Linked DNA regions of Mus musculus: regions 2 and 3 are each reported to be linked to region 1. The links are microRNA targets in miRTarBase. Many come from high-throughput screens and were not tested one by one. Region 1 holds a microRNA gene; each other region holds the end of a gene's coding sequence.

Evidence for each region. Region 1 holds the annotated microRNA mmu-miR-190a-5p (UGAUAUGUUUGAUAUAUUAGGU, at 2,098-2,119, opposite strand). A microRNA usually pairs through its seed, bases 2 to 8, with sites in the 3' UTR of a target mRNA and lowers its output. Matches are read on the target gene's strand: a 7mer-m8 pairs with bases 2 to 8, a 7mer-A1 pairs with bases 2 to 7 and ends in A, and an 8mer does both.
Region 2: the mRNA of Ano6 is a reported target of mmu-miR-190a-5p. The part of its 3' UTR that is shown has no 7-base or 8-base seed match.
Region 3: the mRNA of 1700001L19Rik is a reported target of mmu-miR-190a-5p. The part of its 3' UTR that is shown has no 7-base or 8-base seed match.

What each region holds. Positions count from the first base shown.
Region 1 is chr9:67,234,603-67,239,777 of GRCm38, forward strand. It overlaps Mir190a (microRNA 190a), which reads right to left and starts at 2,124; the gene lies at 2,058-2,124. The region is part of intron 53 of Tln2 (talin 2); the gene reads right to left.
Region 2 is chr15:95,971,836-95,976,835 of GRCm38, forward strand. Ano6 (anoctamin 6) reads left to right here. Exons shown (of 20, transcript NM_175344.4): 20 at 660-3,637. The coding sequence ends at 866. Among named protein-coding and RNA genes, the nearest start is that of Gm41389, 62 kb to the left of the region's middle.
Region 3 is chr13:68,612,581-68,617,580 of GRCm38, reverse strand. It overlaps 1700001L19Rik (RIKEN cDNA 1700001L19 gene), which reads right to left. Exons shown (of 3, transcript NM_027035.1): 3 at 3,350-4,751. The coding sequence ends at 4,572. Among named protein-coding and RNA genes, the nearest start is that of Gm34903, 11 kb to the right of the region's middle.

The sequences.
Region 1 (5,175 bases):
CTTCACAGAGGCCTGGTCTCAGGGGAAGCTCAGGGTGACACAGAGAAACCACTGCTGAGCAAGTCATGTTAGTAGCTGGATACGCACCACCTTCACATCCAGATAGATAATAAAGGAATAGGTTCATGTAGCATCCATTGGAAAAGCCCCAAGCCTGCACAGTTAGTATCTTGGGAATAGTTTTTCCCCATATAATACAATTGCTTTATTACATTTTTTGTAACTTATATTCAATATAAAAAGTAATACCACTGAGTTGATCTTATAATTAGTCTCTGATGAAAATAAATTCTTTAGAATTCTGTCATACTCTCAAAAAGGGGAAGAAGGGGTCACTTGGACCTTGATATAGGAAGTATGGACAATAGAAGCCTTTCCATTATTCAATGAGATACAGTTTGGTTCATCTTAGGAATCTCTGGTATGAGCCTTCTATGCATCTAAGGACCTAACAAGGTCCTGGTAGAGAACCACCTGGCAATACACTCTCTGCTTGTCTGGGACCAAGGTCTGGCATGTGAGCTCCAAGCCTGTAGCTTAGCCATGCAGAAAACATGTTTGCTTTCCCATGTCACAGAACACCTGTGTGCCCGTTCCCACTCCCACTCAGAATATGAATCAGCCACATGGGAATGCCAGACAGCAGCAGAGTTACCCCCCATCCCAAATCTCACCACTTCTGGCAAGTGTCTTCATCCGAAAGACCTTTTAGAGCGATGCTTAAAAAAACTACTCGTTCACCAATGGTGGCTTCTACATATTCCCAAGTTCCTTTTCTGACGACCCCCGTCAAACTACTCTCCTGCCCCTGTAGGGTAAGAGGTCTTGCTCATCCACAGTTAGGAGTGCCATCAAGAGTTGTTTCCTCCTAAGGTAAAACCAACAAGGCCTGGGAGCATAGCCATGCTATTTCCAGGAAAAGTACTTATATAGTCTCTGTGCTAGACAGCTCAGAGTAAACTCACATACAGTTCACGGACTCATTTATGGGAAGAAGTCAAAGCAGCCAGAGAGGCTGATATATACCCGAAAGAATGCTTTCTGGGTCATAGCCCAACTTCCTGCGGCAGCCAATTAGAGTATTTGTTTACTTTCGGACTGCCGGGTTCTTCTAAATATTAACAACCTCTGTGCAGAAGTTCACCTACAACAGAAAACTCAACCGACAGAGCACAGTCCCGAGCATGTTCTCTTCATCAGACATATCTGATCCAAATTAAGGTCTGCAATTAAGGTTTACGGGCTCACCATCCGTAAAGTGAGCACAGTCACCAGGGTTTAGATTTGTTACCAGAAGCGGAAAGTTAGAGATAATAAATGTCCCGATTTTTTTTTTGGCATGGAAAACAATTACAAAATTTAATCTGTGAGAGTGTGTTGAGAGTTGTCAGGAAGAAATATCTAGATCAATGTGTTTGCCAGTTACAATCCTAACCTTTGTCCTATATCAAAGACACGGGTTGTTATCTTCCATCTTTTTCCACTGAATACTTTTCTTAAGGACTCCTAATTGCATTCAACTAAACTTTAGAAAATATCTTAAGCCTTCAGGAGCTATACTCCCTTTCCACAACAAACAGATAATGTAGTAGTATTGATACAGTTTGTTGTGGTCTGAAACAAAGCATCCCCCATCCATAATAAGTTAGTGTGTCTGAACATTTGGTCTTCAGCTGGCAGTGCCATTTGGCTATGGAAGCTTTAGGAATTCACAAAGCCTTGCTGAAGGACATACTGGCCTTTGAGGTTTTATGGCCTGGCTCCATCTGCTGTCCTATCTCTCTACTTCCTGACTGCCGGCCTTCCCTCTTTGATGGTCTGGCCCCTGATAAACTAAGCCATAATACACCCTTTTGCCTTAAGTTGCTTTTGGTTGGGGCATCCTGTCACAGCAACAGAAAGGTAACTAAGACACAGGTCTTAAAGGCTACACGAAGAAATGGAATGAAACATAACAACATACGCACTCTGTCATCTAAACCTACTTGTGATTTTTTAATATATTTTTTCCTGTTGCTTCTAAACTTTGTTAGGACCCCCGGAGACAGGGCAAGACACTGTAGGAATATGCTTGATATATAGTTGGATTAAATAACAACCTAATATATCAAACATATCACACAGAGGCCTGCAGAAAAGGCATCCAGGTTTGACTGAGCTTGAGAATATGGCTGTGGGAGTCAGTCACCTCTGCAGTATCTCCCAGCCTGCCTTGGAACACAGGCGTGTCTGTAGGTGTGGCAAGGATGCCATTAGCAACAATGCTGGTGGCACACACTCTGAGCCTGGGCTCCTTTCCCCAAATGAAAAGGGAGTCTGTGCACCTGTCTGTCACTCACGTCTGAGAGATTACAGGTAAAGGGAGGTGCTTCCATGGTCAGGGCCCAAGGGTGGAACTACACCAGAACCATCTTCACATGCCACAGACTAGTCTCCTTTTAAAACAGGTAACCTGAGAACCAGGTAATCAAAACAGCTGGAAGTCATCACCCTCCCTCCCTCCCTCCCCAAACTAGTCCTCCAAGCAGCACAGGTGCTCTGCCTGGGTGGAGGATAACCTCATTCACGTGGTATGGGGGTGGGTGGCCACAGTCACTATGGCAAGTATGCAGGAGCAGCTGCCATTTATGGCACCCTGAGGATTTTTGTCTTTAAGGTTACAGGACAGGATGGAGAAAAGTAACCTCAAATATTAGCTGGTTTTGCTGTTTCGGTAATTTTTTTTCTTTTAAGCCGAGGAAAAGTTCTTTTGTAACTGTCAGGAGGATGTTATGCATTGTGCAAGAAGTTTCCCACGGTGGACGGCCCTCCTTGCAAGCCCGGGGCTACATGCTTTGGGATGATAAGCTGCTTTGAGACACTTTCATGGATAATGCCTAGCAGTGTACACATAAGGGGTCCACACAGGCCGCCTCCGGCAACCATCCCTCATTTTCTTTTCTTAAGATTTACTTATTTATTTTAAGTGAGTACACTGGCACTCTCTTCAGACACACCAGAAGAGGGCATCGGATCCCATCACAGATGGTTGTGAGCCACCATGTGGTTGTTGGGAATTGAACTCGGGACCTCTGGGAGAGCAGTCAGTGCTCTTAACCGCTGAGCCCTCTCTCCAGCCCCCCTCATTTTCAATGTGTGTGGTTTTCAAACATTGTTTTCCAGAACTGTAAAACACAGAGCCTGCCGTTCCCTGGTCCCATTTCAAGTCTTAGCTGTTCTTTGCTGATCATCTCCGTTAGTTCCCAGCTTTGTGACATAAGCACTAACCATGGATGCCTAGGTGTTATCATTTCTCCCCATTTTACTCATTCCATAAGCATCTTCACGCTGTACAGTCTGGCAACCATTACTCTTCATTACTGTAACAGCCTCATCATTTCCCTTCAAGAAGACCCCAACTTCTTACTGCTACCAACCAAGCTTCTAGAACATCCCTCTCACACAAGTCTGGGTTTTTTTCCTTAGGAAAGGAACTGGAGACAAGTCTAACAGCCTAAGACACTATAAAGTGCAGTGGTCCTGAGGGACGGGAATCATTTTCTCTGCCAATGGGGTATCAGAGGGAGTACAGTGTTCAGAAACTGGGACCCCAGCTCTATGTTCCCTCCCCACTCAATCACACGGTCTGACAGTGGTGAGGACCAGATAAAATACTTAGGAGACTGGTCTGGACCGTGTCTTGTATTTACGGTAGCCCTGTCGCCCGCCCTCTTACCCAACTAGGGATCCATGAAAGACCTTATCTTCCACACAAAGATGAAAAATGAAGGTGTCAGAAAGCATATGTCTGGTCATAGTGATGGTGACAGAGGTGATAGCATTACCATTTACTAGTCAGGCACCATGTTCTTACGTTATCGACTTATGCTATAAGAACAATCCTGCAGGATGAAGGAGATCCCAGTAAGTCTGTTTTCCAAATCAAGAATGTTGACGCAAATGAGCAACCAGTCAGAGAAAAACAGACAAGAGCTGAGGAGGACCCTAGAGAAGGACAGGGTGGAGGCCAGGGGATGCTGGAAAATAGTGGAATATGGGTGATACACGAGCAGCAGGCCCATTCACAGATTGCAGGTGTCAACTGACCAAAACACAGAGTCATCCCCTGTGAAAAGGCCTCTTGGGATAGACTAGACAAGCATAAGACACGCAGATTAAGCTGCAAACCTCACAACCTTTTATATATATATATATATTTTTTTTTTGGAAGGGGGGGGTTTGAGACAGGGTTTCTCTGTGTAGCCCTGGCTGTCCTGGAACTCACTTTGTAGACCAGGCTGACCTCGAACTCAGAAATCCGCCTGCCTCTGCCTCCCGAGTGCTGGGATCAAAGGCGTGCGCCACCACCGCCCGGCACAACCTTATTTTTAAGATTCACCTTTAAAGTATACTTCTCAAGTTCTATTAACTTGACTTGCAAAGCAGAAACAAAAACCTAACCCGAAAATGCAGTTGTCCCTGACCGGACTGTCAGATCTTAAACTCTGACAGTATCAGATGATCCAAGAGCCCCAGGGCACCAGGAACGAAACCCCAGCAAACACAAAAGTCAGAGGTCAAAAATCTCAAATTATGCCTTGATGAGGAAAATCTGAAATGTGCCTGCCATCAAGGCCAGTGCTTAGGAGATAGGTCTGAAGCCTTGACGACTTTAAGAAGCCTCCAGCCTTAACAGATTCATTAGCCTCCTGTCTGCTGCATACATGTCCTCAACACTGCCTTGGCACTGATTGTTGTATTTCAAACCTCCAGACACCATCTTTCAATTTGACAAAAATAGGTAGAAATTTAGGCAGACCTAAACTGGGGGTCTAACTTTTTTGGGGCGGGCATACAAATAGCCAAAGTTCCTTTCCCAATGTATGTGGGTCCCTGGGAGGTGAATATAGATACCCATAAAGACTTGCATAGGTAGGAAGAAAATGAAACCTCCTCCTTCTGACATCTTCCTAAAGGTGGCTGAAGTGTGGGGTAGGAACCGCAGCTGCTTACTAAGGCTGAGCCTGACCCTGAAGATGGGCCAGCTCCTACTGCCCCATAGAAAAGAATCTATCTTCTTGGCTACTTCTCTTATGAAAACTACACTAGCCAGCCACGGGCTCCTGTACACACTGAAACAGCCTAGTGCTGGGTTTCTCTTTGAGATGTGCATTATTCTCTATTTGTGTGTGGATG
Region 2 (5,000 bases), not on the chromosome of region 1:
TCTGCAACAGTGCCCAGCCCCCACATGGCAGCTCACAGCCATCTGTAGCTCCAGTTCCAGGGGCTCCGATATCCCGTTCTAGCATCCATGGGTGGTGTACACACATGGGACACACACATACATACAGGGAAAACACATAGAAAGTAAGTAAGGCTGTTTTTGAAATACTGTCAAGTACTATTATAAAGCTCAAATCAAGAGTAAATACGTATTGGTGAACACGTATATATTTTGGTTTCTTCTTTCCTTTATAGTAACATCGCATATAGGAGAGTACCTTTGAGAAAGGAACAGAGAATTAGGAAATACAACAGCACTGTCAGGGGTCTGGGTTTTTAGCTTAATGGACGATTTGGGGGCGTTCGTTTTATTATTTTTTGTTTCACTACATCATCCAAACTGACATCAGACTCGGTCTCCCGTGTGCTGGAGTGGTAGTCTGTAGTATGTGGATGAGAACACACACAGTCAGGTGGACTCCTCGCTCATGCTAAAGGAACATGGTACCGCTGAACACGGACAGATCACTCCCTTATATCCCGTTGCTTTGAGACTGAAGGGCCACGGTGTCTACCCTGTCCGGACACACCATCATAATGACATGAGTAAAGCTCGGGGACTCGGCCCCCCTCTGACACGGTCTTCTCTCTTCCTTGCAGCACATCATCTACTCTGTGAAGTTCTTCATTTCCTACGCAATTCCAGATGTGTCCAAAATCACGAAAAGCAAGATCAAGAGGGAGAAATACCTCACGCAGAAGTTGCTTCACGAGAGTCACCTCAAAGACCTGACCAAAAACATGGGGATCATCGCCGAGAGGATAGGAGGAACGGTTGACAACAGCGTGCGGCCAAAACTCGAATGAGCGGGAGCTTTAGGCCTGGAGAAGCACTTTAAAGAGAATTAGCTGTCAGACGTGTGTGAAGCACTAGAGAGGATGGCATTGGAACTCCTAGGCAGGCGGAGTCTTGCCCATGCCCATTTCTGCCTGTGTCATCTTCCAGTTTCAGCAAGCAGTGTGGAAACTGGAGAACAGAAAACTGATCAGGCAGAGCCTAAAACCACCTACCTGGAGGTCCTGAACATGCTCCCTCTTTTGATAAATTGGAATTTTAGTAACAGGAAAAAAAGCCCTGAGGTGTGCCCAAGTTCTCCCCGGGACTTCGCTTTTCTGACCTCACGTGTGCAGAGCTCCTTTTCTGTGCTTAATTTTGCATTTTGCCAAATCTATCCCAGACCTATTTTGTCCGGACAGCACCATCACCAAAGACCAGGCAGACCTCAGCCTTAATCGCCTCTGTGTTATCAACAATAGCCAGCTCAGGATTGAGTTTGGATGCTGTGTTAGGTCCCAGGTAGGCTCAAGAGTTCACAGTATTTCAGTGTCTTACTGTACACTCCAAGGAAGGAGACTCCGCTGCGTATGAAACAGCTTCTGTATCATTTCAGCCTGTATTTCCACCTCCAAGAAATACTCGTCTTAGATTGGCATGAAGATGGAGGGTATTGAATGAAGAAGCCTGTCCCTGTTACTCCACGGTGACATTTGCTCTCTAGCAATACTCCCAGCATGCTCTGGGTCTGACCAATGTTGACTGGCTTTCAGATCTTAAGGGTATATAAGATGAAAAGGTAGCAGCCCTTGTTGATCTGAACGGTTAATTTATCTCTTCTTGGTAGATGATAATCAAATGATTGTAACTGTCTCGTCCTCAGCATCATGGGCCGGGAAGCCCATCCACTTCATGAGAACGGACTTAGCAGATGCAGAAGGGTGGCACTACCAATCACCAAGCGCCTTCTGCCTTGCTCGCTGAAAAAGGCTGGTGGCCTGACGACACTGGGCGTAGTCAGAGCAACAGCCAGCTACCCAATCACTAGCCATATCCTGTGATCCCTCTGTGGCAGATGTCACTCACTGGGAACCCTACTGACTTCTCTGCTTGCCACGGTGACCAGCTTCCTTGCCCAGCTCCATTCGTTGCCTGCTAACTCGTTTGTAATCACAGCTGGGCTGGAGACAAGTCTACCAAGATTGTTGCCCTTTGAGGAAGGAAACCCTGGGTTGAATTTGAGCCCCAAGCCTCCTCTCAAGCCATCAGGGGGTTATGGGAAAGGCTGGTTTATCTGCTGGTGGCTTGCTGCGAAGCCTCAGCTTCCTAGTGCCTTGCCCTCCCTGTTGCTTGGCTGAGCAGTCTCTCTGCAGCCTGTGCTCCGCTTCTCCTCCAGTCCATCTGGAGGAGACATGGCGATACCTCGCACCCTTGACTGATCACAGAGGTCAGTGCTGGGTGAAGAAGGGAGGACCTGCCTCACACTGTTTGGGGATCGGGCCGCTGCTGACTGGATGGGTGTGGAATGCCTCGGTGCCTAGGAACCAAGCCAAGGAAAGTGAGCGGTTTTAGAGACTGCCTTCTCAACACCCGTGGTATTAAATGCCCACCACGAATGATTTACTAGAGAATTGAGAATCAACATGATTAATCAAAGCAGTGTTCTGGGCTTTTGAGTAGCCCAGGGGGTCAGTGTGGGAGTATTTCCCCTCCTCCCTTGTCCTGGGAGTCCAGAGCCCGCCATACAGTGTCTATCTGTGCTGAGATAAAAATGACTACCTTCCTCCCTGAGGGATGCTCTCATTGCACAGCTGAAACCAAGTGCCACTCCTTGCCCCTACCCCCAGATTGCCCTGGAGTGCCCTGCTCCCTCTGTTACCTCTTTTCCAGAGCCTGTGCTCACTTCCTAAGGACAGGAAAGTACTCCCACTCCATACCATAGAAAGAGGAAATTTTCCCTTCCTTTCTTTGTAGACACAAAGAAAAATGTCAAATAAAAAGTGCATTTCTTCATCTATATTCCCCAGCCAAGAACTCCCTTCACAAAGTAGAAAGTACCACTATGGACAGAAGAAGGAGGAAAAAAAAAAAAAAAAAAAAAAAAAAAACTTCCTTTTCTGAAAGGAGCACTCATGGCATCTGATGCTACCAGAATGCTGAATGACAGCAAGGTTGCTGTGAGCTGTAGGTTCCCAATGGCGTCAGTGTCATTCCTATGAGGCCTGTGCCAAGTTGGTGATGGATAGGAACAGGGGACACCTTCGGTGGCAGTGAGGTAGACCCCAGGCCCAGGAAAACCAAGGGCATGACTGTGGCCACCCACCTGTCTAGCATGAGCCACTAGAGAAGTTCCATCCTTTTGTAATGCCTTTGCATTTTAATGGATTAATGTGGTAGACCCAGTACTCAGGGGATTTTTCCTTAAATGCTCCTCGGATGTTTTAGGTATTCCGTTAGAAGTAGAAGACCACAATTTTTCTTGAAATTGAAAGAGGCCGTCTGGTAATGAGTTTGTCAAGGTTTCCCCTTTGCAGGGCACGTGGGTCTTGAGTTTCATAGGACATCCGTTTGTGATGGGGCAGAGCGGGGTGAGTTGGTCTCACAGGTCTTGTGTGCTCCTTGTGTTCGTTCCTACAATGGTTGAGAAGTGGAGACAGTGCAGAGCTCAGCTGAAAAGGGACTCGTGATGCTTCCCATACACTGTGTCCCCGGTGTAATGTTTGTAACTGATGTCTGTTAATTTCTATGCATTTTAATATTTTTTAATTAATGAGCATTTTAATAAAATCAGTTTTACAAACAATGCTGTGGCCTAACGAGGTTTAATAAGTGTCTTATTAATGTTTTTAAAGGAACAGGTTTCCGAGGTTGGCCAATTACTGGTTAAGTATCGCTTAGATGATGGGTGTGCACGTCTGTCTAGAGTATATCTATAATGACTTTTCATGGCCCGTGGTTACATGGCCTTTCAGCCATGGTAGATGCTGTAAATGCAGGTGAGCTGAAGACCTGCTCACCTGCTCACCAGCCCAGGTACCCTAGAGTCACCGGTGAGATGACACCCCTTTGTCAATAACCCTCTTTGGGTCTCACTGTGTAGCTCAGGCTAGCCGCCCCTCGAGCTCTGAGAGGACACGTGAGCCACACACCTGGCCCTTGGATGCACTTTAGAACAGTCCTAATAAGGGACCCTCTCTTCTACACACTGTAAGCAAACGGTTAGCTACAAGTTTACTTCTAAGGCAAAGCACCGGCTTCCCATCCGGGAGCACCTCGGTACTGACCAAAAGATGCAAATTCTCCAACGTGGTTCCAGAGACTGGTGCATGTGAAAATGTAAATGTTTTTAAAATAATCTTCAGAAGACAAGGTGGCTCTTTTTTTTTTCTTCACAGAAAAGCCAAAGTAACAGGTGTTTAGGGGACACGGGAGGTGACTGGACTCTTAAGGATTGAGTAGTATGGACATGGTATCACCTTGGTTTCAGACCAGGCAAGGGAAAGGAGGCCTGTGAATTATCATCTCTGTAAGTCAGATTAACACACACACACACACACACACACACACACACACACACACACACACGTCACTAAGCCTCAACAACAAACTGGATCAACAGGGAGAAAATATGTGACCCCCCAAACCAAGCTGTTGAAATAACCTGTTCAAACAAGGAAGGAGGAGAGAGGGAGGGGGGAGGGAGGCAGAGGGGAGAGGAGAATGAAGGCATTCAGAGCCTTTGGAAACAAACCTGCATTTTCAGCATACCATAGCCCCGACCTATTTTGAAAAGAGACAATATCCAAATTTGGACAGATTTAGGAGTCAGACCTCTGCGTACCCCCATGTCTGGGACTCCACAGATATTCTACCACACAGGCTCAGTTGATGGTTGCTCTGTGAGCCAGACTTGACTTGGAGTGACTGTCACAGGCCAACTCTTACGGTGTGAATATCAAATGTCCCCTACAGGGCTATTTATTGAATGCTTGGTCACCAGCTAGTGGCACTATTTGGGGAGAGTGTGGAAAATGTAGGAGATAGGATGTCACTGGAAATATTAGGTTACTAGGGGCATGCCCTGATGCCTGGTCCCCAGACCCTTGACTCCACTCAGCCATCTCTGCCACATGCCCCTGCCATCATGATGTATGTCAAGGCTTGCC
Region 3 (5,000 bases), not on the chromosome of region 1:
ACCTTAGTACAAGGAGATAAGTATGGATCGATTCGCATTCTTCTACATGATAACAACCAGTTGTGCCAGCACCATTTGTTGAAAATGCTGTCTTTCTTCCACTGGATGGTTTTAGCTCCCTTGTCGAAGATCAAGTGACCATAGGTGTGTGGGTTCATTTCTGGGTCTTCAATTCTATTCCATTGGTCTACTTGTCTGTCTCTATACCAGTACCATGCAGTTTTTACCACAATTGCTCTGTAGTAAAGCTTTAGGTCCGGCATGGTGATTCCACCAGAGGTTCTTTTATCCTTGAGAAGAGTTTTTGCTATCCTAGGTTTTTTGTTATTCCAGATGAATTTGCAAATTGCTCCTTCTAATTCATTGAAGAATTGAGTTGGAATTTTGATGGGGATTGCATTGAATCTGTAGATTGCTTTTGGCAAGATAGCCATTTTTACAATATTGATCCTGCCAATCCATGAGCATGGGAGATCTTTCCATCTTCTGAGATCTTCTTTAATTTCTTTCTTCAGAGACTTGAAGTTTTTATCATACAGATCTTTCACTTCCTTAGTTAGAGTCACGCCGAGATATTTTATATTATTTGTGACTATTGAGAAGGGTGTTGTTTCCCTAATTTCTTTCTCAGCCTGTTTATTCTTTGTGTAGAGAAAGGCCATTGACTTGTTTGAGTTAATTTTATATCCAGCTACTTCACCGAAGCTGTTTATCAGGTTTAGGAGTTCTCTGGTGGAATTTTTAGGGTCACTTATATATACTATCATATCATCTGCAAAAAGTGATATTTTGACTTCCTCCTTTCCAATTTGTATCCCCTTGATCTCCTTTTGTTGTCGAATTGCTCTGGCTAATACTTCAAGTACTATGTTGAAAAGGTAGGGTGAAAGTGGGCAGCCTTGTCTAGTCCCTGATTTTAGTGGGATTGCTTCCAGCTTCTCTCCATTTACTTTGATGTTGGCTACTGGTTTGCTGTAGATTGCTTTTATCATGTCTAGGTATGGGCCTTGAATTCCTGATCTTTCCAGAACTTTTATCATGAATGGGTGTTGGATCTTGTCAAATGCTTTTTCTGCATCCAACGAGATGATCATGTGGTTTTTGTCTTTGAGTTTGTTTATATAGTGGATTACATTGATGGATTTTCGTATATTAAACCATCCCTGCATTCCTGGAATAAAACCTACTTGGTCAGGATGGATGATTGCTTTAATGTGATCTTGGATTCGGTTAGCGAGAATTTTATTGAGGATTTTTGCATCGATATTCATAAGAGAAATTGGTCTGAAGTTCTCTATCTTTGTTGGATCTTTCTGTGGTTTAGGTATCAGAGTAATAGTGGCTTCATAAAATGAGTTGGGTAGAGTACTTTCTACTTCTATCTTGTGAAAAAGTTTGTGCAGAACTGGAATTAGATCTTCTTTGAAGGTCCGATAGAACTCTGCACTAAACCCGTCTGGTCCTGGGCTTTTTTTGGCTGGGAGACTATTTATAACTGCTTCTATTTCTTTAGGGGATATGGGACTGTTTAGAAGGTCAACTTGATCCTGATTCAACTTTGGTACCTGGTACCTGTCCAGAAATTTGTCCATTTCGTCCAGGTTTTCCAGTTTTGTTGAGTATAGCCTTTTGTAGAAGGATCTGATGGTGTTTTGGATTTCTTCAGGATCTGTTGTTATGTCTCCCTTTTCAGTTCTGATTTTGTTAATTAGGATTTTGTCTCTGTGCCCTCTAGTGAGTCTAGCTAAGGGTTTATCTATCTTGTTGATTTTCTCAAAGAACCAACTCCTCGTTTGCTGACACCATTGCATACACTAGCAAGATTTTATCGAAAGGACCCAGATGTAGTTGTCTCTTGTGAGACTATGCCGGGGCCTAGCAAACACAGAAGTGGATGCCCACAGTCAGCTAATGGATGGATCACAGGGCTCCCAATGGAGGAGCTAGAGAAAGTACCCAAGGAGCTAAAGGGATCTGCAACCCTATAGGTGGATCAACATTATGAACTAACCAGTACCCCGGAGCTCTTGACTCTAGCTGCATATGTATCAAAAGATGGCCTAGTCGGCCATCACTGGAAAGAGAGGCCCATTGGACACACAAACTTTATATGCCCCAGAACAGGGGAACGCCAGGGCCAAAAAGGGGGAGTGGGCGGGTAGGGGAGTGGGGGTGGGTGGGTATGGGGGACTTTTGGTATAGCATTGGAAATGTAAATGAGCTAAATACCTAATAAAAAATGGAAAGAAAAAAAAAAAAAAAAAGAACTGGAAGGATAGAAGGCAGAGCTAAATTACCTGTCTGAAGCATCAGTAAAATTTGACAGCAGCTAAAGTCCTTGTCTGCATGTACCTTTTACAGATCTGGGCTCACACCAGCCTCTCCAGGAGGGATCTCAGCCAATATATTCTCAATCCAGACCTGAACCCCTAAGGAAGAAAGCTGGCCTAGAGCACATTGACAGATTCCCAAAGGGACTTTCTTCTGTGTATTACATTTTAAAAATCCCCAAGTGATTCAGATCACCTTCCCAAATCTGAGCCTCCCTCCCCTTCAGTTTATAAATGAGGAGACAGGTGCGGAGACATCTAGCCTGTTGTTCCTAGTCTAGTGGCTGCTGTGTGGCCAAGGCACTGCTAAGGTAAGGAAACTGCCTGTTTCATCAAATCCCAAGCAGCCACTCCTGATCCGAGTTCCTTGACCTTGATAAAAATAATCACTAGAAACGAGAAAATCAGAGGAGTCATGGAGAAGTTCCTTCACAAGCACCCCTCACCTTTTAGCATTACAGGAAGCCTCTCCTAAAAGCCATCGGTCCAGTTCCCTAACTCCCATGCTTTAACGTCACTGTCCGCAGCTGGCTGGAGTGTGCTGTCAATCAGACCTCCGGTGCTCTCTCTGCCTCCTGACTGATCTTCAGAAGCCAGTGGCCCTCAGATCTTCTCTGCCTTCCTTTGCTTATTTATCAGCATCCGCGTGCAGGAACCAACACCAAACAGTGGTGGTGGTTGGATAAGTGGAAACACAATCTATTAATACAGGAATGTACTCTCTGAACTGGAGACGAGGCTCAGCACTTGACACTGCACACTGCTATTGCAGAGGCCTCAAGTTCACTTCCCAGCATCCATGAGATCATGGTTTTCACAGCTACCACAACCCCAGCTTCATGAGATCTGACATTCTCTTCTGACCTCAGCAGGCACCAGCAGCTGTGCACATATCCACACACAGATGTACACACATACACCTAAGTTAAAATAAATCTTTAAAAATAATAATAATAATAATAATAATAGTATCCCCCTTAAGATGTCTCTACCTGGTATTCATTAATTAGAGAGGAGAAGCGAACAGAAATCCATTTAATTTTCTTTTTTATATTATTACAAGTATAGTTTAATGTGCCCAAGAGCAACTCACAATATACTACTATTTATTTTGGGGAAAAAGAGCAACAACACTGGAAAATTCGGAATATAAGTATTTAGGAGTTACTCATCCTTGAAATGGCCAGCAATTTTGGATCATGAAACCATCTTGCAGATTCAAAACAATAAAACCAGTGGTTGAGCACCAAAATTAATTGCATCACCTGCCCATTAACTGCTCAGCTCTGGGAAATTCAATCGCAGTAGATGAGAGATGCTTTCTTCCAAAAATACATTCATTAAAAATATATCTTAGTGCTTGAGTGTATGTCAGATTCTCTTGCAAAATAAATACTTCCAACCTGGGTTAAAATCAGCTGCTTCCAGAAGAGGAAACTGCTGTCCAAAGTGACAGCCATGGGCTGCAGATAGATCTCAGGGGCACAGTGTGCAAGGTCCTGGGTTCAAACCTCTGTGTGAAGAATAACAAGGGTAAGGACAGTTTCAGTGCTCAGGGCTGTGAACCCTGAGCATGGCTGTACTCTGGCAGTATTCTGATTAGAAATTTCACCTAAAGATGACACAACATCAGATCACAGAGAGAGAACGTAACAGGCAGACTTTTCCCAGAGTCCAGCCTGCGCCCTGAATCTGTAACACATTCTCCCTGGAGGGGTGGCAGTATGGATGTACAGGGGGCTTTAATGCTCCATTGTTCAAAATTCAGTTTATCTATGACCTCAAGAAAACAAAGTGCTCAGTCATGTTGAGAGCCATTTTTGTTCCTCTCAGAGAAACAGAAAAGGGGTTGTTTGCATTGTGGGCAGGGAGAAGGACCGGCACGTTTCTCCTGTGACCCCTTCCCCAACAAATCCTTGCAAAGTGAAGAGCCAGCCCACAAAACAAACACAGCTGCTACCAACGGGAGGCAAGCTTTTCTTTTATTCAGGGTCTCAGAATGAATCAGTCAGTGTCATTTTAAATAAGTCCAGTGAAAATCCTTACCCTAAAGCTTTCAACATAAGGAAAGGTGCTTTTCCAGGTTCTGAGCCAGGACCACCTTAGATATGCACGTGCTTATCCTCCTGCAGTCAAAGAACATTCTTACAGCTACAGGTGACATGAACAGGAAAATGGTTCGTATACTACATCACTTGCTGATAGGGTACCTCAGAGTGCCCTAGAAACCACACGACTTCTTCAGGCTGGATTGATGTGCCCAAAGCCGGGCCCCTTGATGCTGGGGATCTCGTTCTTCCTGTAGAAGTCGGTCTTCACGTGGCTCACATGGCCATAGTCTCTGTTTAGGGGCTCAATGGGCTGATTGATGCGTTTCCCATAGACAGAGGACATCAGCACTGGCACAGTCCTTTCTTGTTCCTGGGAAGATGAAATTCGCAGACACCACTGTGAGCACAGAAACCTTTCTACCCACAATGCATCAGTACAGTGGCCGGTCCATCAGATGTCTCACCCAGGCGACGTCTCAATGATACCTGTGTTTGCAAAGCCAGAAAGACTCCAGTCCCTCTGCGCACGACCCTCTACTACCCTGCTATCTGGAGGAGAAGTAAGACGCTGAACCAGACACCACTAGTGGTCTGACTTCAGGTCCTGTTCCTCCTCTTC